Linked DNA regions of Tamandua tetradactyla. The protein of the gene in region 1 purifies or fractionates together with the protein of each later gene. This does not show direct contact. Links are inferred from orthologs where the notes say so. Each region holds a gene or a part of one and is shown on either strand. Other genes may lie near its edges.

Region 1 (10,886 bases):
TATAGGAAAGTATTTAACTGAAGTCCACTGTACACAATGGAACAGATAGAACGGGATAGGGGTTAGTGGGCTCACCGTTTAGAAGATGATCATTTGGGTCAGAGAAGACCCTAGCATCTAATGACTAGAAAGTAGAAGTATGGAAAAGAGGGAAAGAATTATACAGAATGCCCTCCAATTCTGTATAATTAATTGAGAAAGAGGCACCATATAGCTTCCTAATTATGATTAGCATGCTGGAGACAAGTAGCTAATGGCCTTGATTTAAACATTTGCCAAAGCTGACCCACTAAAGTTGGCCAAATGTAAAATCATATAAGAAGAATTGAGAAAGCTCAGATGTCTGCACTCCTGCTTTACAAAGAGGCAGGACAGAATAATGGAAAGAGCAACAGTTCTGAATTCATACAGACCTGGGTTCAAATTTTAGTTTGCACACTTGCTTGATCCCGGACAAAAGTTACTTAAGCTCACTGAGTCTCAGTTGTCCCATCTGTAAAATAAGTATGATAAATCATGTCTCTTGGGTTTGTCTGAAAATTATGATAGCTAATGTCTTTAAAGTAATAGACTATCTGGTACCTTGTGGCTATTCAATAAAGAGTAGCTGTTATAGGTCTAATGATGACTTTTTTTTGGTCTGCTCCCCAGCGAGTGGCATTAAGCCTTGAAGATGATGGACTGCCCTGAGGATGAGACCACTCCCTTCGTGCCTCATGGAATTCAGTCCCATGCACTACACTTTCTGGATGGTGTATGATTGGAGAGATGGGTTTCTGTATATGGGTCTGTGTGAGAGTGTGTGTGTGTGTGCATTTTTTTTTTTTTTAATTTATGTTGCGGAAAGGTAACCACAAAGTTATGATGAACTGCAAACATCCAAAGGATGTGAGAGTTTTTATATGTATAATGTTTTATACACTTTTTAACTGGCTGCACTACCCATGAGGAATTCATGGAATGGCTACTGCTGAGTGACTAACAATGATGTATATAACCAAACTGGGGCCAATGGTACGGTAGCTTACTCATCATTTAAAAACTATATTTACAAAGAGTGTTTGGGAATTTTTTTAGGTTTGGAGGTTTTGTTTTGTTTTGTTTGTAAATAAAATGATTATGCTTTGTGGCTATCCATCAACATAAGTAAAAAAAAAGAAGAAACACTCCCATTCCCTCCCCCATTTAGATTATTTATTAACATATTTCAAAGATAAGATTAGTTCTATAAATAATTTAGAGAAGCAAGAGTATCTATTTTTGGTATGCTTGGCCCACCACGCAGACTCTGTATGTGTGTTTATGTGTGTGTGAAGAGAAAAATCTGTAGAGAAGTTTGTGTACCTATGGCTATTATTCAAATACTAAATATATTTTAAAACAATCCACAAAATGGGTATCTGTAGTTTTCAGAGAATTTTTGGAAATTTGACTCAGAAAACAGATACCATGGATTGTGCAAACATCTAGTGGAAGGGGAAGATCTTTTCCACTTCTGGCTATTCCTGGGACTCTAGTCAGTCAGGAAAAGCCCAGCAGCTTGCCCGTGGCTGCTGTAGCTCCTACCTGGGTTTTCTCTTCTGTGGCTAAGGCCAGCATATAGACTTTACACAGTGCCAGAAGCACTCGCGAGCTTAAGTCAGAACATGCCAGGACCTCAGATACTCCTAGTTTTAAAGTTCAGCAACTTGAGTCATTTCTTTAATTTTCTTCAGGATACTTGGGTTAAAATCAGTAAGTTTCCTCTGCAGCACCTTGAAAGATGCCATCATCCTCACCTACAGAGCTAAGTGGAGAATGTTTCTAGGATGTCCCAAGTTCACCCTAGGGACTGGCTCAGGCCCCGAACATCTGAGACACACTGTGGATGAGGACAAGGATGATGGAATCTTATTTCTCCCTTTTACTTTCTATCATATCTGCTAAGTGATGAAAGCATATTTTTAAAGTATTAAATAGTTTGTTTTTTTTTTAACCATAGTATGTTCATAATTTGGGTTTAAGTCAAAATCAGTGGCCAAACCTGAAGTTATATTTGAGGAGGGAAATGGTATACACCATATATATCAGAGTATTTTGGACATATATGGTCACACAGGGATTTGGTTTACTGCCTTGTAAATAAAAGGAAATACTCTGGCTATATGTATAGATTTTTTTCATTATGGACACTTTCTTTGCTTTTCCTGGGCCAGATGGGTGGGCAAGGAGAAATGCTGTTTTCTCTTTGTGAGGATCTACCATTGGAAACATAATCCTACAGTCCCAGAAGGAATTTGGTTCCTTCTGGCTTTTTCATCCAAGATGTGGCCTTTTCTTAACTCTTTCTCTGCTGTTCTGCCACTTTACTTTCAATTTCACTGGACAACTAGAGACAAGGTGTGACACGGAAGTACTTGACTTAAGTAAGGGCAAGGACATGCATTTAACCTTAACATTCCTGGAACTTGACATATTTAAGCAAAGGCCCTCCTGGCCCCTAACTCAATGAAGCTTGGATGTTTCACCAGCTTGATTCCCCCCAGAATTTCCAGGCAGACATTGAAGAGTTATATCATCCTGTTCTTAGGACTTTTCTCTGCCACTCGTGGTTTCATAACCTCTGTGAAAACAACTGTGCTCTGGAGCCTGGGCACATAAAACATTTCCTCATGATATGCATGTATTGATAGTCCAGAAACATTCACTGAGAGGGCAAATGCAATTGACCTAGAATGATCAATACCAAACAGAATTTTAAGAACAGGTGACCAACTCCTATGGAGCTTAATAATTTACTATTATTCTTTCAAGAATAGAAAGTAAAATTATTTTTGACTGAAGAACACTGGAATTTACAAGTGACTTGTCTGTAACCTGCTTACAAAGAAATTGCCTGAATTTCCTAGGTTATTAATGACAACGTGACTAGCATAATTTCTAAACTTTCAGTCAGTTCCTGGCCTTCCCAGAAAAAAAAAAAAATGAATGAGGTCAGAACGATAACAGCCTCAGATCTCAAAATGATGATAAAACTCACAACTTTTTTAGAGACATCCATGTTTCCTGACTATACTACAACTGTAGCTTGAAAGAGGGCAGCTTTGGGAGCAACCTACAAGACACAAACTGAAATGCTCATGTGTTAGATGGCAGTAAATACAATAAAATCTGTGGAGTCAAGTCCATCCTTCCCTTATTCCCAGTACCTCCCAGAAAAAGTACAGAATCAACATCTCATGTGTAAAGGGCTTTCCTGCAAAATGGGGCGGGGGGAATACATGTTGGGAAAATCAGACTTCCCAGACCAATGGTACATTCTTCCAATTTTAGAGGTTTTTGAGCCTCATTTTGAGGTGTAATTTATTTCTGTTGCCTCCCACTCCCCCTGCCCATACATAGCATAGCCAATAATGAATCATAGAGCTGGAAAAAAATCTTAGAGAAAATGTCAGCAGAGCAGAAAATGAATTTATCACAATATTTGCTCCATTTTAAAAAGAAGCCATATCCAGTTCTTTTCCTCTTTCTTCAGACTACTTGGGGCTGCCTGGACGTTACTTCAAATCTGCTGCCTATTTTAGGCTTATCTGTCCAGTGGAATTCTGAAGGCATGGGCAGAAATGGCCTTCCAGAAACAGGGCAAACTAGTATGATTTTTAATAAAACAGGTTGAGATAGCCTGTAACTTCACCTGGCAAAAAGAGGATGAGATGGAATTTAAGTCAATGGCAGTAAGTACTATTGATCCCTCTGGCTCTGTGTAATTACAATATGTTCATTCACTTTAAACTATTTGCTAGGTACCAACTGTGTGCTGGGCACTAAGCCAGAACATAAAGAACAATTCATCCTTGTCCTTATGGAGCTCAGAGTCACAGTAAGGAAAGGCACATGTGAAAACAAAAGTGATAGATTGTATTTAGAGTACTGTTGGGACACAAAGGGGAAAATGGACATTTCTACCCGGGGAACTGAGAAATGGGATCAAGAATGGCATTATAGGAGAAGTGTCCTTAAGCTAAGTCTTAAAAGTTCAGTAGGAGTGTCCAGGCTGCTTCAGACAGAGGAAACACTGAGCTAAGACAGATGCATGTAACATCTTGGAATTGTTAAGGAATTGTACCTGTTCATTCTAGCTGGAGCATAAAGCTCAAGGGAAATTTAGCATGAAATGAGGCTGGATGGAAAAACAGGTTCAGTGTAAGCACTTTATAAAATACTATTTAGTTTCTGATTCAATTAAGCAAGGCTTTTTGATCCTTGATTGTGTATGAGGCACCAAGTGTATCAAGGACAATTCACCAGGATGTACTGCCAGCACTTTGCAGATGTGACAGTGTTCAGCCTCAAGCTTTCTAATGGCCAAAGGGAAATCTTGACTGCTTTTCATATATTTGAGTCAGTGTTTTGATGAGGTCAATGAGAACTAATATAAGGGCAGTGGGATTTTTACAGAAATATTCCATCTTATTAAAAGCCTCTGAGATTTTCTCAACCACGAAAAAAGAAAACTGGGAGTTTGAAGGCGTGGAGTCTGGAGAGGGGATGCCAGTCATTCTCCAGTCACAAGCTAGTGGGAATGGGGGAAGGGTACACTAAAGTGAACCTACCTCCTCTACCACCTAAATCCAGCCATACTCTCATGTCATAGAATGTAAATGAGTTAGTATAACAGTTGCAGGTTAAATAATTTCCTTTCTCATCAATGCATGAAGGTAGAATATCAGAGTCTTCTCACTGTATTTTTTAGGGTATATGGGATTTTCAGGGTATGGCGAATTTAGAAAGTGGAAGAATTAAAAGCTTCAATTTTTCAGTTACTATAAGAAATCAGGAAGCTTTGTTCATTCAGGCTATGCACCATGTGCACAGTCAAGAATCAGCAGAAACCCTCTGCATTTGCAAACACTTTGTGCTATAAAAAGTAATAAAGAAAAAAGCCACCTGTATATATATTTAAAGATGTGAAGGTTTTGATACTTTTTTACAAAAACTACAAGAGAAAGCATACCTGTACAAACCGTCTACTTTAACATAGTGTTTTGTTCTATACAAGCTGCTGTTATTTTGAGGGTGAAGTACTGGTTTGCAAACTCCATCACATTGTGCCCAATGGATTTTCCTTGTTTGTCTTTATCTTCCCCACCCAAATTACTGTCTTTGATGTGACAGGCATGTTAGAATGTTGGGTTGCCCTAACCATTTCTGCTCTTTTCACTTTGTCATTCCAAGTTTGGTTACCTTCTGTGCTCAGTGCAGTCTGGTTTCTCTTCCAGAGGCAAAGGGACTGAGGGTGGTGTGCTGCATTTCACTAGCTGTACTGGAATTATCCTGATGAACTGAAAACCAAATGTGAACATTTGTAAAATCAGTGCCCTGTTTCTAGAAAGATTAAATTCATTTTTTTTAAAATCTGGAAGCATTGTTTCATTGTGATGTTTTAATGAGGGGGGAGTGGACTAACACTGAGCCCCTGTTGTGTAACACGTGTTTTACATTATCTCAGTCTTTGACAATCTGTGAGATAAATATTATCAATATTATTCGCCCCATTTTACAGATGAGACGATCCCAAAATGGTGAAATAACTGCACAAAGTTATTTTTAGTGCCCCCAAAGGACATTTGCAAATGTAGCATTCTCTAACGCTGTGGTCTTCAACCCTGACTCACCAATGCCCATATACATCCTTAGAGGATTTATTTCATTGGTTTGGGGTGGGGTCTGGGTATCAGTATGTTTTCTAGCTCCTCAATGACTCTAATGGGCGGCCAGGGCTGAGAATCACTGTTGGATAAGCAGTACACAGAGGACCGAGGAGTGGAAGATCAAAATATTCAATTTAACTTTTACTCACAGAACCTACTATAGAGACCAGGGGACAATTAAACATTCATAATAAGTTAGAAAAGCGTAAAATGAAGGATAACCAACTGTGGGGGGCGGGGGGGGGTTAGTTCCAGAGAGATGGCAATCTCCACTATGGATTCAGAGAAAGCGTTACAGAGAACGGTTTTCTTGAATTGATGTTTAAACAGCAAAGTTCAGTCGAGGCTGACTTTAGACACAAACATCATTCGCGGCGGTCCTCTCCCGGGTTCTGTGAGATGGGAGCATTTAACCCCATTTTACTGTTGAGAAGACCTATGTCCAGAGACAATGAAGAGCTTGCCTGACTCACACAAGGTCGGGGGTTAGGCCTGGAGGGGGGTGCAGGACTAGGAGGGATTCAGGCCGGAGAGCTCCTGGCGACGAGTCTTGGCCTCACAGCGAGATTCCAGACTCCCTCTGGAGAATTCGAACAAACCCAGAACTAAGGAAAACCACGGCAGGCGCTTCCGGGTTACGGGGGTGGGGACGGGAGGGAAGCCTTGACCCCGCCCCCGAACGGGAGGGGCGAGGCAGCCTTGTTTCCGCCTCTGGGAGAAAGGGACGCCGCAGCCTTGTTCTCGCGGGTACGGGCAGGGAGGGATCCCTTGCTCTCGCGACGGCGTTGTCGTGACGTCACTTCTCCGCGCCGCCGAACGTCAGTGTTGGTCGCGTACAGCCGCCGCGCTGTTTGCTATGTAAGTTCAGTCTCCGTGGCCTTTTATGAGCCATGGAGAGTGACTTTTATCTGCGTTACTATGTGGGTCACAAGGGCAAGTTCGGCCACGAGTTTCTGGAATTTGAGTTCCGACCTGACGGTAAGAGCGGCCTGGCGCAGTGGGGAGCGGGTACTAGGCCTGGGGCGGGGGAGTGAGGAGGCCTAAGAGTCGGAAATGTGCGGTGAATGAGAGGAGCGAGGGACTAAGACCTGTATAGCGCGGACCTGAAAGGAACGTTCCTGTGCCGATTCCACTGGTTCCATATCTTTCTATCCATATGCAAGGACTCCTGTTTAGAAACATGTTTGACCAGAGTGCTTTCATTTAACAAACACTGAATGCTCCCTTTGTGCCAGGCTTTTTTCCGCTCTCTGGGGATACAGCAGTGAAGAAGATGGACAAGCATACTCTCTCAGCATTTATATTCTAGTGCTAGAGACAGATCACAAACAAGCAAAAAAGAAGATTCCAGGTAGTGATGAGCGGTCAGAAAAAAATAAAGCAAAAAGACTAATTACTGGATGAGTTGCTTTAAGATAGGGTGGCCATTGGAGTGCTCTCTGAAGAAAGGATAATTTGAACTGAGGTCTGAGTGGCAAGAATGAATCAGTGCTGTGAAGCTCAGGAGCAAAGGCATTGTAGACAGGGAGTAGAAAGTGCCAAGGCTGTAGGAAATGAGCTAGGCATGTTTCAAGTGACCAGTGTCACTGAAGAATAGTAAGCTCCCAGGAAAATAGCATGAGGTGATGTGAGATAGCGGCCACATCACGTAAGCCATATTGGATTTTATTGTAAATGCGGCAGAAAACAGTTGGAAAGTTTTAAGCAGGGAAGTGATGTGATCTGTTCTGTTTTTGAAAAGAGTATTCATTGTTGGATGCAAAATGGGCAAAAGTGGAAACAGGGCTGCTTACTAGGAGACAGTTACAATTGTCAAGACGAAAGGTTATCAGTTGGGACCGGGGTGGTAGTAGAACTGGAGAGAAGCATTTAGGATACTGTTGGAAGCAGAACCAACTGAGACTTCGCTGAAAGAATTTGGGGAGTGGGCACTGAAGTGAAAGAAAGGTATCAAAGATACCAAAACTTCTACTAAATGGTAGAAGAAAGATGAACCTGCGAAGTCCTGATTTTGAGGGAGATAGAGTTGAAGATGGTGAGAAAGTACTGTTTTAGGTACTGTGATATAAAGATAGTGGAGACCTGGGAGCAGAGAGAGGGCACGTAAGCAAGTGCCCTGAAGGTCAGGAAAGGCATTGTAAATGAAGTGTAGCTTGAGGGGAGTGGAGTGAGTATTTAGGAATATGTAGGAGTTGGTTAGGCAGACAAGAATCAGTAAGGCATTTTGGACAGCATTATCAGTCAAGAGGTTGAAAATCAAAAAGGACATGTAATGTTTCAAATAGAACCCAAGCAGTTTGGTTGACTCCCCAGCTATGGGAGAGAGGAATATTGCAGGATTGAGGTTGGAAAAGTAGGTGGGCACACACATTGACAGTATGCCATGCTGAGGAGTTTGGATTTTATCAGGAAAGCTGTGGGGATCCATTGAAGTATCAGAGTAACCTATTCGTATAGGTCTGTTACTAGATCACTTGGGCTCCGAACTGAAAGAAAGAGACTCGAAGCAGAGAGACAGTACAGAGGCCATTAGAATAATTTGGCTTTTTTTAATATGTGCCCTCTATTAGGTAAAAAAATAATGTCTTCTATTTCCTTTTATCTTCTCTTTCATTCCCCACCATATACCCAGATCAGATTGTTGGATGTACATGTGGAGGCTCACCAAGGGCATGTAAACCAAATGTGCTCAGTTATAAAAGCGCAACTTTTATATTACAGGAATAGTTCAGTGTTGTACAGTCATCTGATAATGTATAAAAACAGCCTTTACATTTTTCAAAATGCTTTCACAACTCATTTGCGCCTCAGGAAGCCCTGAGTCAGATATTTTATCAATTATGTTCCTATTTTCACAGAGCTGTCCTTTACCCACGATCACAAAAGAGCCTGCCATGTTTTGTGTGGTTTTTTGTTTTGTTTTGGTGCATGGCCCAGGAATCGAACCCAGGTCCCCCACATGAAAGGCAGGCATTCTACCACTGAACCACCCCTGCTATGTTCTTTTCCCACACTTGAGCTGTCTTTTGCAAGAAATATAGTTCAATGTCAGCCATATTTTTGGCTGTGAGGATGTTTAATAGCCTAAAGTGAGGAACTGAAAAGACTAGCATTGTTGAAACACAAGGTGTAAATAGTAAATTTCTTAGACAATTTGAAGGGAAAGTTAGGGTACATTTTAAGCAACAAGTGATAATCTTGGTAGGCTATTTATTTTTAATTGTACATTGAATTTGTTTTTTTTGCCCCTCACAGGGAAATTGAGATATGCCAATAACAGCAATTACAAAAATGATGTCATGATCAGAAAAGAGGTATGAACCTTCATTCACTACAGTAGAGACTTTTCCTTGTGTTATTTTTGTTCTTTCTGGAAGTAATATTGAAAGATAAAGAACTGGGAAGTAGACACAACTGTAGGCAGCTTCTCAATTCCTTCTCAGATATTCCTTTAGTTTATGCTTTCATTCACAGTGTAGAATCAGTTACTGGTCATCATGGAGTCTGGCAGATCTTGGTTTGAACCCTGAACCTGTTTCTTACTAAACATGTGACCTTGGCAAGTTTCCTGGCTGAACTCAAGTCTCAGTTTCTTCATCTGCAAAAACAAGGTTAATAGAACTCATCCATCCCCAGCTCTGACAGAGAATTAAATACATTAAACTTAAAGTGCTTCATATATTTCTTGACACATATACTCAGTAGAGAGAGATACTGTTGAATTTGAATTTGAAATGACAGGGAACATGGTAAAGCAGCTAACATTCGTTGAATACATGTTAGATGCCAGGCATGGAGCTAGGTATTTTACATGAAGGAACTTATTTAACGCTGATTGTAAGTCCGTGTAATAGATGGTATATATCATCTTTAGAAAATGAAGGCACAGATCTTAACTAAAGGACTTGTTCAAAGACACCTCTGCTAGTAAAAAATAGAGGAATTCAAACATGCATACATTTCTCAAGTCCATATGCTCCATTCTTTCGTGATTTCTACTATGCCTTTAAGGCTTCCTCAAAGCCACACTTGCCTTTTAACCATTTTGTCATATTTAAAAGTGTCTTTACAGTTTATATATTTTCATAATATTATGTCTAATTAGCAATTGTTTTTATATTTATCCACACATGTCAGCATCCTCACATTTTTCTACATGGACTTATATCCAAAATGTACTTTAAAAGATATGTCTCTGCTCTTCAGAAGCATGTCATGTAGTTAAAAGTAACCAGGATGTGAGACATTCACAGACATTTAGTGATTACCCAGATCTTCTATTCTGGGTTCAGGTGTCAGTTGAGTATGTGGGCAGAAGACAGTCATTGTGACCAAGATGTGCCAAGAGGAGCTAAGAACTAGATGGAGGATTGAGGTGATCCTATCCCTCTTCTCCAAGATGCCGAGATCAAGCCTGAATGTCTTCCCACTTACGGTGGTGCCGGAAATAAGTCTCCAGAAGTAGTTGACATTATCATCCATCTTCATCTGAATCAAGGCACCGCTTCGGGATACAACTTAAATTGTTTTTTTATTTACTTTCAGGCTTATGTACATAAAAGTGTGATGGAAGAACTGAAGAGGATAATTGATGACAGTGAAATTACCAAAGAAGATGATGCTTTGTGGCCGCCTCCTGACCGAGTAGGTCGGCAAGTAAGTGCTTAGTGACTATTCTAGTGCAGAAATTTTACAAATGGAAGATGATATATGACATTGAACTCAGTAATGTTTGTGTGTATGTGTTACTGAGTTCTGCACAAAGCATATTATCAGCAACTTGGTCTGTAGGGAGAAACAAAGAGAACAGGTGGTACTGATGACTACCTAGAGCCCAGCCTTGAATTTCTTCCTGTAATACCCTCCGTCCCCCCTACTCCCTTTCTCAAAGCTTTTGCTGCCCACTTCACTTACTAGGTAACTACTATAGACAAAGCATTATAGAATACAAAAATAAATAGAACATAGATATTTCGTCAACCTACTGGAAGGAAAAATCATGCAAGCAACTCAATATGTATGTTTAAACGCATGGCTGAGTCATTCTGAAGACCATTTGTTAACTAAAAACAGACAAAAATCTACTCATGTTTGACTTGAGTTAACAGAAAAGGTATTTCTACCTGAACTGCTGCCATCCCAGTCCAGACTTCTAATCAAATTCCTTTCTTCTCTTGTGCCCATTCCATTTTCCAT
Region 2 (10,685 bases), on another chromosome or scaffold:
TTTTCTGAATTGATGCAAATGTTCTAAGAAATGATGAATATGCAACTAAGTGATGATATTGTGAATTACTGATTATATATGTAGAACGGAATGATCACATGTTAATGTTTTAGTTCATTTATTGTTAATTTTTTTAATTAATAAATAAATAAATTTTTAAAAATGGGACTGGGTAAATTGGATACCTATATGCAAAAGAATGAAGGTGAATTCCTACCTCATACCATATACAAAAATCTACTCAATCTCTATCAGGGAACAACCCAATTAAAAAATGCACAAAGATTTGACTAGACAGTTCTCCAAAGAAAATATACAAATGGCCAGATAGCACATGAAAAGATCCTTACCATCATTAGCCATTAGGGAAATGCAAATCAGTACTACAATAAGATACCATTTCATGTGCCCTAGAATGGCTACTATTTAAAAAAAAAAGCACCAGAAAATTATAAGTCTTGGAGAGGATGTGGAGAAATAGGAACTCTCATTCAGTATTGCTGGTAGTGTAAAATTGTGCAGCTGCTGTGGAAGATAGTTTGAGGAAGACAGTTCCTCTGAAGATTAAGAATAAAATTACCACATGACCCAGCAATCCCATTTCTGGGTATATACCTACAAGAATTGAAAGCACAGACTTGAACAAATATTTGCACACCAACATTCATAGTATCATTATTCACAATTGCCAAATGATGGCAACAGCCCACGTGTCCATCAAGTAATGAATGGATAAACAAAATGTGGTGTATACACACAATGGAATATTATTCAGCCATAAAAAGTAATGAAGTTCTGATAGATGCAACAACACAGATGAACCTTGAAAACTGCTTGTTGAGTGAAATAAGCCAGCCACAAAAGGTGTGTATGATCTCACTGATATGAAATAATAAGCAAATCTATAGGGTCAGAATCTAGAATATAGGTTATAAGGGGATAAGATGAAGATTGGGAATAGGGAATGTTCTAGTTTGCTAGCTGCTGGAATGTGATATACCAGAACTGGAATGGCTTTTAAAAAGGGGAATTTAATAAGTTGCTAGTTTACAGTTCTAAAGCCATGAAAATGTCCCAATAAAAATAAAGCAAGTCTGTAAAAATGTCCAAATTAAGGCACCAGGAAGAGGTTACCTTCACTCAAGAAAGGCTGATGAAGTTCAGAGTTTCTCTCTCAATTGGAAAGGCACATGGTGAACATGGCATCTGCTAGCTTTCTCTTCAGGCTTCTTATTTCATAAAGCTCCCCCAGGGATGTGTTCCTTCTTTATCTCCAAAGGTCTTTGGTGGTGTGGGCTCTGGCTCTCATCATTTTTCTGGCTCTAAAAAAGGGACGGTCTCTAAAATGTTTCCTCTTTTAAAAAATCTAGTCACGGCCCACCTGGAATGGGTGGAGTCACATCTCTCTCTAATCAAAAGTTACCACCCACAATTGGGTGAGTCACATCTCCATGGGAACAATCAAAAGCTCCAAGTCAGCAATATTGAATGAGGATTAAAGAACAAGGCTTTTCTGGTGTCCTCCACAGATTCAAACTGGCACAGGGATTTAAAACTTAAAATGTACAGAGTTCCTATCTTGAATGATGGAAGTGTTTTGGTAATGAATGGTAGGATGGTAATACAACATTGTGAACATAATTAACAATGCTGAAATATATATCTTAATGTGGACAAATGGAGAAATATTAGGTTATGTATGGTAATAGGTCAAAATGTTTTAAAAATCCTTGAAACTGCATTATACAAATAGTGAACCCTAAGTTAAACCATGGACTATAGTTAATAGTATGACTATAAAAATATACTTTCACAATTGTAACAAATATACCATATCAGTGCAAAGTGTTAACTGTAGGGAAGATATGGTGTTTTACTTTGCTTATGCTTCTGGGAAACAATATACCAAAAATGGGTTGGCTTTTACAAAAGGAGTTTATTAAGTTACAAATTATAGTTCTAAGGCCATAAAAATGTCCAAACTAAGGCATCTAGAGAAAGATACCTTGACTCAAGAAAGGCTGATCACATCTGGAACACTTCTGTCAGCTGAGAAGGCATGTGGCTGCCATTTGATGGTGGCTTCTGATTTCAAACAGCTCCCCTGGGGGTGTTTTCTTTCTGCATCTGCAAACATCTCTTCTGTGTACATCTCTGTCTGTGTCAGCTCTGAAATTTTTCCCCCAAAATGCTTCCCTCTTAAAGGACTCCAATAAGTGGATTAAGGCCCCACCCACAACTGAGTGGGTCTCATTTCCATAGAAATAACTTAATCAAATAGATCCCACCCAGACAATAGGTCTGCCCCCACAAGACTGAATTAGAAAAAAGAACATGGCTTTTCTGGGGTACATAATCGTTTCAAACCAGCACATATGGGAATTCTATATTTTATTCATGATTACTCTATAAACCCAAAACTTCTGTAATAAAAAAATAGTGGATCAAAGACCTGAATATAAAAACTAGAACTATAAAACAGCTAGAGGAAAACAGAGGGATCCTCTTTAGCAGCTTGTGTTAGTCAATGGTTTCTTGGACTTTATACCCAAAGCATGAACAACAAAACAAATAAGTAAATGGGAACTCACCAAAATAAAAACTTTAGTGCTTCTAAGGACTTCATCATGAGAGCAAAATAACAACCTACACAATGGAAGAAAATATTTGGAAACCACATATCTGATGAGAGTTTAATATCAGACTATATACAGAAATCCTACAACTCAACAACAAAAAGACAACTCAGTTTAAAAAAATGGGCTAAAGACTTGAATAGACATTTCTCCAAGAAGATACATTAACGGCCAAAAAGCACATGAAAATATGTTCAACGTTATTAGCCATTAGGGAAAGGCAAATCAAAACTATGATGAGATACCATTCCACACTCACTAGAATGGCTACTATTTTTAAAAACATGGAAAATTACAAGTATTAGAGAGGATTCAGAGAAATAGGAAGACCCAGTCATTCATGGGAACACAAAATGTTGTAGCTGTAGTGAAGGACAATTTCGTGGTTCCTCAGAAAGTTAAGTATAGAATTACCACATGATCCAGCAATTTCTCTTCTAGGTATATACCCCAAAGAATCAAAAGAATGAACTCAAATGGATATTTGCTATTTTGGTTTCCTAAGCTGCTTTAAGTAGATATCATAAAATGGTTTGGCTTAAATGAATTTATTTGCTTATGGTTAGGGTTTGGAAACTTGTCTAAATCAAGGTATCATTAAGGTAATGTTTTCTTTATGAAGACCAGCTGCTGGTGATCCTTGGCTCCTCTGCCACATGGCAATATCTGTTAGTCTCTTCCTTCTCTTTTGAGTTTTATTGATTTCACGTTCTTGCTTCTGTAGCTCTCTCTCTCTTTTGAGAGAGAATACTTAAGAATTCTTTCTTAAGAATACTTAAGAAAGGCCAGTGGGTCCGGAATACTTCTGTCAGCCGGAAAGGCACGTGGCTGGCATCTGCTGGTCCTTGTTCTGGTTCTGTTGCTTCTGGTTCTGTTGCTTCTGGCTTCTGATGCCAGTGGTTTCCTCTCTAAGCCTGTGTGGGCCTTCACTTAGCTCCTCCGGGACACAACTCTGGTTCTGGCCTGCTTAGCATCTTGTGGGAAGGCATGTGGGGAAATCTGCTGGGCTCTTCCGGTGGCTAGGCATCTGCTCTCTCTGTCAGCATCTAAGCATCTCAAAAGATCTCTGGCTGTGTCAGCTCTGAAGCAAATATTCTTCAAGAATCTGCATCTTAGATTTCTCCAAAATGTTTTCCCTTTTAAAGGACTCTAGTAAACTAATCAAGACCCACCTTGAATGGGTGGAGTCACATCTCCATCTATTCAAAAGGCCACACCCAAACTGGCATGTCACATCTCCATGGAAACAATTCAAAGTTTCCCATACTAAACAATAGGTCTGACAAGATTGGATCAGAATTAAAACAGCTTTTCTGGGGTACCTAATAGTTTCAAACGAGCACAGATGTCATCTGTTAATTGTTAAAGTTATAAAGTTATAAAAAGGAGGGCTAGATCACTCTCTCTGACTTGTAAACAAAAAAAATCTCACCAGAGGAGACAACCCACTGTGCGTAATATCTGATTATTATATATTAATATTATTTTAAAAATGGAAAGTGAAAAGACTTGAAAAACAAACTTAACTTGTTCCTTACTATCTGAATGTTCAGTTCGCTATGTCATTGAAGATAAATTAGAGTGTCAAAAATTAGAGTGTCCTCCAGAGAAGTCTCCCTTGATCATTGGCAAAGTTTTTCAAATTTTACTATCTTATATATGTCTTTACCATACAGAAGCATCTTAAAATTTAAGAACCCAGAGAAATATGCACATAATACAAAGTGCCAGTAAACTCAGCTTCTCTCTACCTTGGAAAGATAAGGAAGGACATGGGATATCCACGTTATAGCAGCTTTTCATTTTGTTAACACTTTTTTTCTGATTATAAAAATAATAAATGCTTATGGGAAAAGCCCTAAATTTTATAAAGAAAAAAATTAGCCATGATCCCACCATTCATAAACACCTATCTGTTAATATAGTGTGGTAAATTTCTGTTGCATATATATTTTTACACGTCTGAAGTCGTCCAGCATTAACAAATTTCTTTTTTAGAAACATGAGCAATGCAATGTTCTTGTGATTCTTTTTTGTTAACATGGATGAATTATTTGTTTGCTGATTTTTGATGGATAATAACCCTTTCTCCAATTTTTCATTTATTTTTTATTATTTAAAAATATACTACTTTACATATACAAAATGATATATGTAATCTACGAATAGGTCATAGAGCATAATAATATAATGAATATTCACAGATCATTCTGTCAACTCAAGAACTTGGAATTTTACCAATAATTTGTATAAATTATACACATGCTCTTATCTCACTCGTCTGCCTCTCCCAACTATTGTTTAACCTAATAATCAATGAAAATTAAATAACTGAAAATTTTCAATCCATAAACTTAATTTTTACATTGATATTAATAAAAATCCCTTTTTTTTAAACTGAAGTTTGAATCTCTTATACAGTGAGGTAAACTGTTTCCTCTGTGTTAGCTCTAATCTGGATCCCTACTTATTTTACCAGCCTGCTTCCAGAGACTCAGCTTCCCTTCTGAGCTCTGCTTCTCCAACCCTGAAGTCCAAGGTCAGCGTGACAATACGAGGTTATACTGTTACATTCAGTCACAGTAGAAAAAAAAGATCGCTATAAGATGATCTATAAAAGTTGCTGATTTAGAAAGGACGTTTAAAATTTAAAGAAGCATTTCAACGTTGTTAACAATGACTATCAAAGTTTTTCTAAGAACCCATAAAGTTAAAAGGCTTTAAAAGCGTTTTAAGGTTCTTGCCTGCAACTTAGAAATTGTATGGTGGTGCACAACTGCTATTTTGTAACTCTAGTTTTTCTCTCATTTCTTAAGTGGGTTTAGCGACAATTTGCCTACTTGACTGCTCTGTTTTTGAGGTTCAGTAATTTGGGAGCTTATGTTGTAACGGAACTGCTACCCAAACGAGAGGCAATTATTTAAAAAAAAAAAAAAAGGAAAAAAAATGGTCTTAAATTATATCGCGAAGAATAAGACTTATGATCGTCTCCATAAGTAATTACTCGAAAAAGCTGAGACAAATGCTAAAGAAAGCTTTTCTCGGTCTCCAAGACGCCTTCTACTGAATTGGAGAAAGATCCACCATAATATTCCGTACAATATTCTTAACTGCTTTGCGGAAGGCACTTTCTCCTAGGACAAAATTACTCAATTACGATTGCGGGTCACAATAGACCCGCTTCAGGGCCCACCCTTGGCCCCTCCCACACCCACAATGCGCCTCGCTGCTCCCTGCAGGCGGCTGCTCTATCACGTGTCACCCAACCGAGCGCGCTCCCGTTTGGCGCCTGCGCAGAAAGTAACTCCCAGCTATTTTTCTCCGTGGGTGCGGCGACGAGCGGAAGTTCTTGGGAGCGCCAGTTCCGTCTGTGTGTTGGAGTGGACAAAATGGCGAAGATCGCCAAGACTCACGAAGGTAAGCCATCTTTGCTTGCTAACGGACTTCTTCCGCTACCTAGACTGCTAACAGTCTGTCTTCCTAGGTTTCTGCCTTTTCCTGTGTATGCGTGTGTGTTTGTTTTTAGTAGGAGGCCGAGTCTGCGGTTTGTGGCCTAGGTCGCCTCCAGCGATGCAGGCCTCTGCTCTGTGTAATGGCGTCCTACTTAAACATTCCAGACAAGCGCTTTGTTCCGTGTTAGGGTGCTGCTCCTGGAGCGTTGCTTCTCCTCTTTGACCAGTGGGCCTCGTTTAAACGGTCTACTAAAGAGGATTCTAGGGCAAGAGGGGATCCGGGAAATGGGCCTGGGAGTCTCGCCGTTTGGAAGTGCTGTCAGCGCAATTTATACATAGGAAGAGTCAGAAAGACATTGAAAAATGGCAACCTCTTTTATAGCAGTATTAAATTGGGTTTGGTTAAACCAAGGCCCATTACTCTTAACCTTGGATAGTATGTGTATCTGCAGGCTTCTAGGCTACTTGCTTGTTTTTTTTTGTACGAAGTGATTTGGGAATGAAATAATGATAGTACTTTCCCCTTGTTCACTTTTAGTGTATTATTGGTCTTTTTCTTTGGAAATTCGTGTTTGCGGAGCTAGAGGAACAAGAGAAAGTCGCTTTTAATTTTATTGATGATCGAAGCTTTCAAACTAGTTGATTTATGGAATACGGAGTATATGAAATTAGGAACATGTTGCTAATAGGCAGGAGTCTGTTAGTGAGTACTAAGAGCAGGTACAGATATTATAGGAAATGGGGTTCCTTTTCAGAAAAGACGTGGGAAGTTGGAGCTGCATTCCTTGATTTTTTACGTGGAATCTGGTATTTTCACTCTTCCAAGAGAGTCACTTTTATTTCACACTCTGTTTTTAGATGTGTGGCTTGGTGTTGTTAGTTTGTGAGAGTTGAAGACTACGACCATCAACTGTTTTACAGTCCAGTGGGGGAAAGAGACGTGTATCCATGTACATTCTGTTTATGAGACCAAGTGAATGCTTAACGAGAAGTACAAGTAGTCTGGGGAATCTACAGAACGGAATGAAAAGTTTATGCTTATGGTTATTTGTCCGTAGTCTTGGGAAGATCAATCAGTTTTATATTAGGGTGGCCATCTGAGCCTCAGAACATTTTGTAACAAGGCACTGTCCTGATGGGTAACCGTGTTTTGAGTAGTCTGCTATGCCAGGAAAAGTAGAGTGCAACAGAGAAATAGAAGATGAATCTGGATAGGTAAGTTGGGTCCAGTATGTAAATAGCATTCAGTTGTTGGGCTACTACAAGGAAACGAAGTCCAGCTCTCTGCAACTTAAGAAACATACTAATGAATGCTTACTATTCTTGTTATTTAGGATTTAAACACTGCTGTAGTACAGACATGTTTATAGGTATTTCTCTTGTCTTTAAAAAAACATATCTTTTGTAAGATACTGGAAAATATAAAAATGATTTTTGTTCATTCAAGAATAGATTATACAGTTGGGGCATTTTGTGGCTTTTATTACTTGTATATTGGTATCTTCATGGTAAGATAACCCTTAGGCATGAAGATTGATAAAGTTCTAGCCAGCTTTCCTGCAATTTAGAAAACCGCCTAAAAGTCTTGGTCCATGAAAGATTGTAACTCACTGACCAAAATTCCTTTTTTAGGAATATTCTTTCTATAAAATGTGAATTATCTGATGCCACAAAGAAAGTATGGAACATTCAGTTTAACGTTTGAGTACTGTTTATGTATAAGGCATTGCCTGTCACTGTGGAATATAAAAAAATAAAGATGTGTCTTCTACCTTCTAGGAGCTTGCAGTCTAATAGAGGAAGTAGCTATGTTTAAGACAAAGGGGTTTTTAATAGCAAAGCATAGTCTTTATTTAACTTCGTGCTCCCTTCATATTTTCCTGGAGAACTCTAGTTCATAGTCCATTTCTGTTTTCACTTGTTAAGCCATCTCAGATAACATTGAGTAGAATTAATTTTTGAATTATTTGTCCTACCATAGCACTCAGTATGTATCTTTAATTATATTTGAATATTCTGTTGGGTTAAGTTTTTCTCTTCCATTTGACTCAGATTGTGTACAGGAACCTTACCCTAGTATCCCAAGTATCTAGTATAAAAGGAGTGCTCAGATATTAAACCAAAATATATTTAGAGATTTGTACTGTAATTATTAAGATAGTTTCATGGGAAAGGGGCAGACACATTGGTTTGGCTGAGATAGGGGGAAAGCTGAATTTAGACATGTATTGGGAACCTCTTAATCTGAGAGTAAGAAAGGTTAGGTTAGTGTCAAATGTTAGGTTAGCATATGGGCTTTGTTTGAGTCTGGCCTCCCAGTGACCGTTAAATAAAGTGCTGTATCCCTCCTTGCCAGTCCCCATTCCCGTGTAACTGCTTACTTTTGTGTTTTTGGAAGGTAACTGGTTGTATGAAGGATGATGTAGAGGGAGTTGGAGCAACTATCTTAAGGCTACTGAGAGGAGGAGGACTTGGACTTAAACGCGACTATGATAGAAGGATTTTAGAAAGCAACTTTAAAAAAATACTTGTTTAAATTTTTGTTTTAGAGTTGTCCATAATGTTGCCTTTTAAAGGAAGATTGTATAATCTTTTCATCCTACATAATATGGATGTATTGTAAAAACAATTTTATTGTTGTGCCTTGTAATTTGTTTTTAAAGCTGTGGCTGCAACAGTAGTTTTTACTTTCATCCTGTGAGATAAATAATGTGTGTAACTTCAAGTAGATTATTTTTTGCCTTTGTACATGGCTCTTTTCATAGGCTATTACTTAACTGAGCCAAATTGATAACTTTTTTTACTTGTTATCATAGTCCTTTCAAATATTTCTATTAGGATCAGTCCTCACGTCTTCTTTAACTAAATTTTTTTTTACTCTGGTTGGTGTGATTTAAACTTTCCAGGATTGAACTATAAGAAGAGCTGGACTTATTCAAATCAAATGAATATAAGATCATTAATCTTTTGGACCTGGCTGCATGTTATATTGTGTCAAGTGTATATAATTTTAGTGTGCATAATCTTGCCATCCAGCAGTTCTTCAGTTACTACTGACTTTGGCAGACAAAGAGGAAACACACTTTCCTATTTTTTCTGTTTTGGGAAGGGAAAAATGAATTATATGAAAATTGGGTATATTGGTTTTTGCTACTATTCCTTGAGTTGGAATTTTTGTGGCATCTCGAAGCTAAAAAGTTTTCCCCAGAAATTTTTGCTTGAGGAATGGTTGAAATTGATCTGTTTTACTATTTTGTATTTTACTAAGATTTTTGGTTTTCCTTGTTCAGATTAGCTATTGTTTTGTTCTTTAGACTTCTAGTTTGAAGGTACTAGTAAAGATAAAAGGAAATTGATCATTTAGGAAATGATTTATTAACATTCACTGTAGTGTTCAGTAAAGTTATTTGCACTAGATCTAGTTGTCCTATTGGAATTTTGTTTAAGGAGAAGGCTGAGAGTTGAGGTGTGGAATATTATACTTCGTCTGCTCCTGGGGCATCTTTTGGAAGTCTCATATTTGGGAAATCCTTACTCACCAATTGTTCTGATTGGTGAAGAATACATGTTACTTAGGGACCTGACTAAAAGTATCAGTGAGAGGTTAACCTTTAAGGGCTGTGTGTCTGTCACATGCAATGAACAGAGGTTGGAGAACTGAACGTGATCCAAAATAAAAATGAGAAATAAATAAGCATCAAGAAGGAGGAAGTGGTGCTAACCTAGTTTAACAGTATCTGCGGGATAGAAAGAAGAAGAGGCACTGGATCAGTGACCTGGGAGGGTAAACATCTTGAGGGTCAGAATTAGTGGGGAGCGAACACTTGTATCAGATGTGATCCTCTGTCAGTGACATATAGGTTATTCTCAGAGTTTGATGTTTAATCTTAGTTTAAAATGCAAATAGTGGGTTAGTGTTTGCCCTTTTTTAAAAAGACCTTCAGTTTGTCTTGTGGTGAGTATTGACGTTATACTCAATACAATATTTGCTGTAGTTACGCTAGAAAAATGTTTGTAGGCTACTCACTGCCTTTCACTGATTATAAAAATACACTAAGTTTTGAATAAATGAAAAAACAAAATATTTTTGGATGAGTTGAGACTTCAGGTGGGTTTGCTTGCAAACTAAATTTTTTGATTTTTCATTAATACTACTAATTAACATGCATCTTCTGCATTTTCTGTGAAGGATTTGTTCCCTGATAGTTGAAAGTATGCCAGGGAATAAATCATTTTTTCAGTTGAATAAAGACATTTCCTTTTTTTGTAGATCATTTAAGTGAATTGAGTTTTAAAGTTACTACCAATTAGCAAGGCCAATGTTGCCAGAAAAGGTGTGGGAGAGGGAAATTCAGAAAAGTTATAACTTTTAAGATTCAAAATACTGGATGAAGGAGCTAAAAAAAAAAAAAGAGAATTGCTATTTGTTTGACAGAGGACTCCATTTCAGAGAAAAGAGGGTTTTTATTTTTTGTTGCATATGGTCAAGTGGCATTGGTTTCATAGTGCTAGATAAGAGAATAACCAAGAAGTGAGTGAAGAGGGCTGAATTTATTAAAAAAAAAAAAAAGTCTAAATTTTATGTAACTTATTATTA

The links.
Region 2: the proteins of MAGOH (region 1) and SF3B1 purify together in Homo sapiens (co-immunoprecipitation; 3 studies listed by BioGRID and IntAct, with this or other methods). This does not show direct contact. The link is inferred for Tamandua tetradactyla from reciprocal best matches to the Homo sapiens genes MAGOH and SF3B1.

The regions. Positions count from the first base shown.
Region 1 is NC_135328.1:168,388,263-168,399,148, forward strand, and holds the start of MAGOH (protein mago nashi homolog), read left to right. Parts: upstream 1-6,481; 5' UTR 6,482-6,580; coding exon 6,581-6,668; intron 6,669-6,685; exon of another isoform or gene 6,686-7,041; intron 7,042-8,945; coding exon 8,946-9,004; intron 9,005-10,235; coding exon 10,236-10,346; intron 10,347-10,886. Other genes in the region: LRP8 (low-density lipoprotein receptor-related protein 8), read left to right, coding at 652-690. UniProt on the Homo sapiens protein: Required for pre-mRNA splicing as component of the spliceosome. Plays a redundant role with MAGOHB as core component of the exon junction complex (EJC) and in the nonsense-mediated decay (NMD) pathway.
Region 2 is NC_135329.1:171,667,836-171,678,520, reverse strand, and holds the start of SF3B1 (splicing factor 3B subunit 1), read left to right. Parts: upstream 1-5,877; 5' UTR 5,878-6,025; coding exon 6,026-6,053; intron 6,054-10,685. UniProt on the Homo sapiens protein: Component of the 17S U2 SnRNP complex of the spliceosome, a large ribonucleoprotein complex that removes introns from transcribed pre-mRNAs.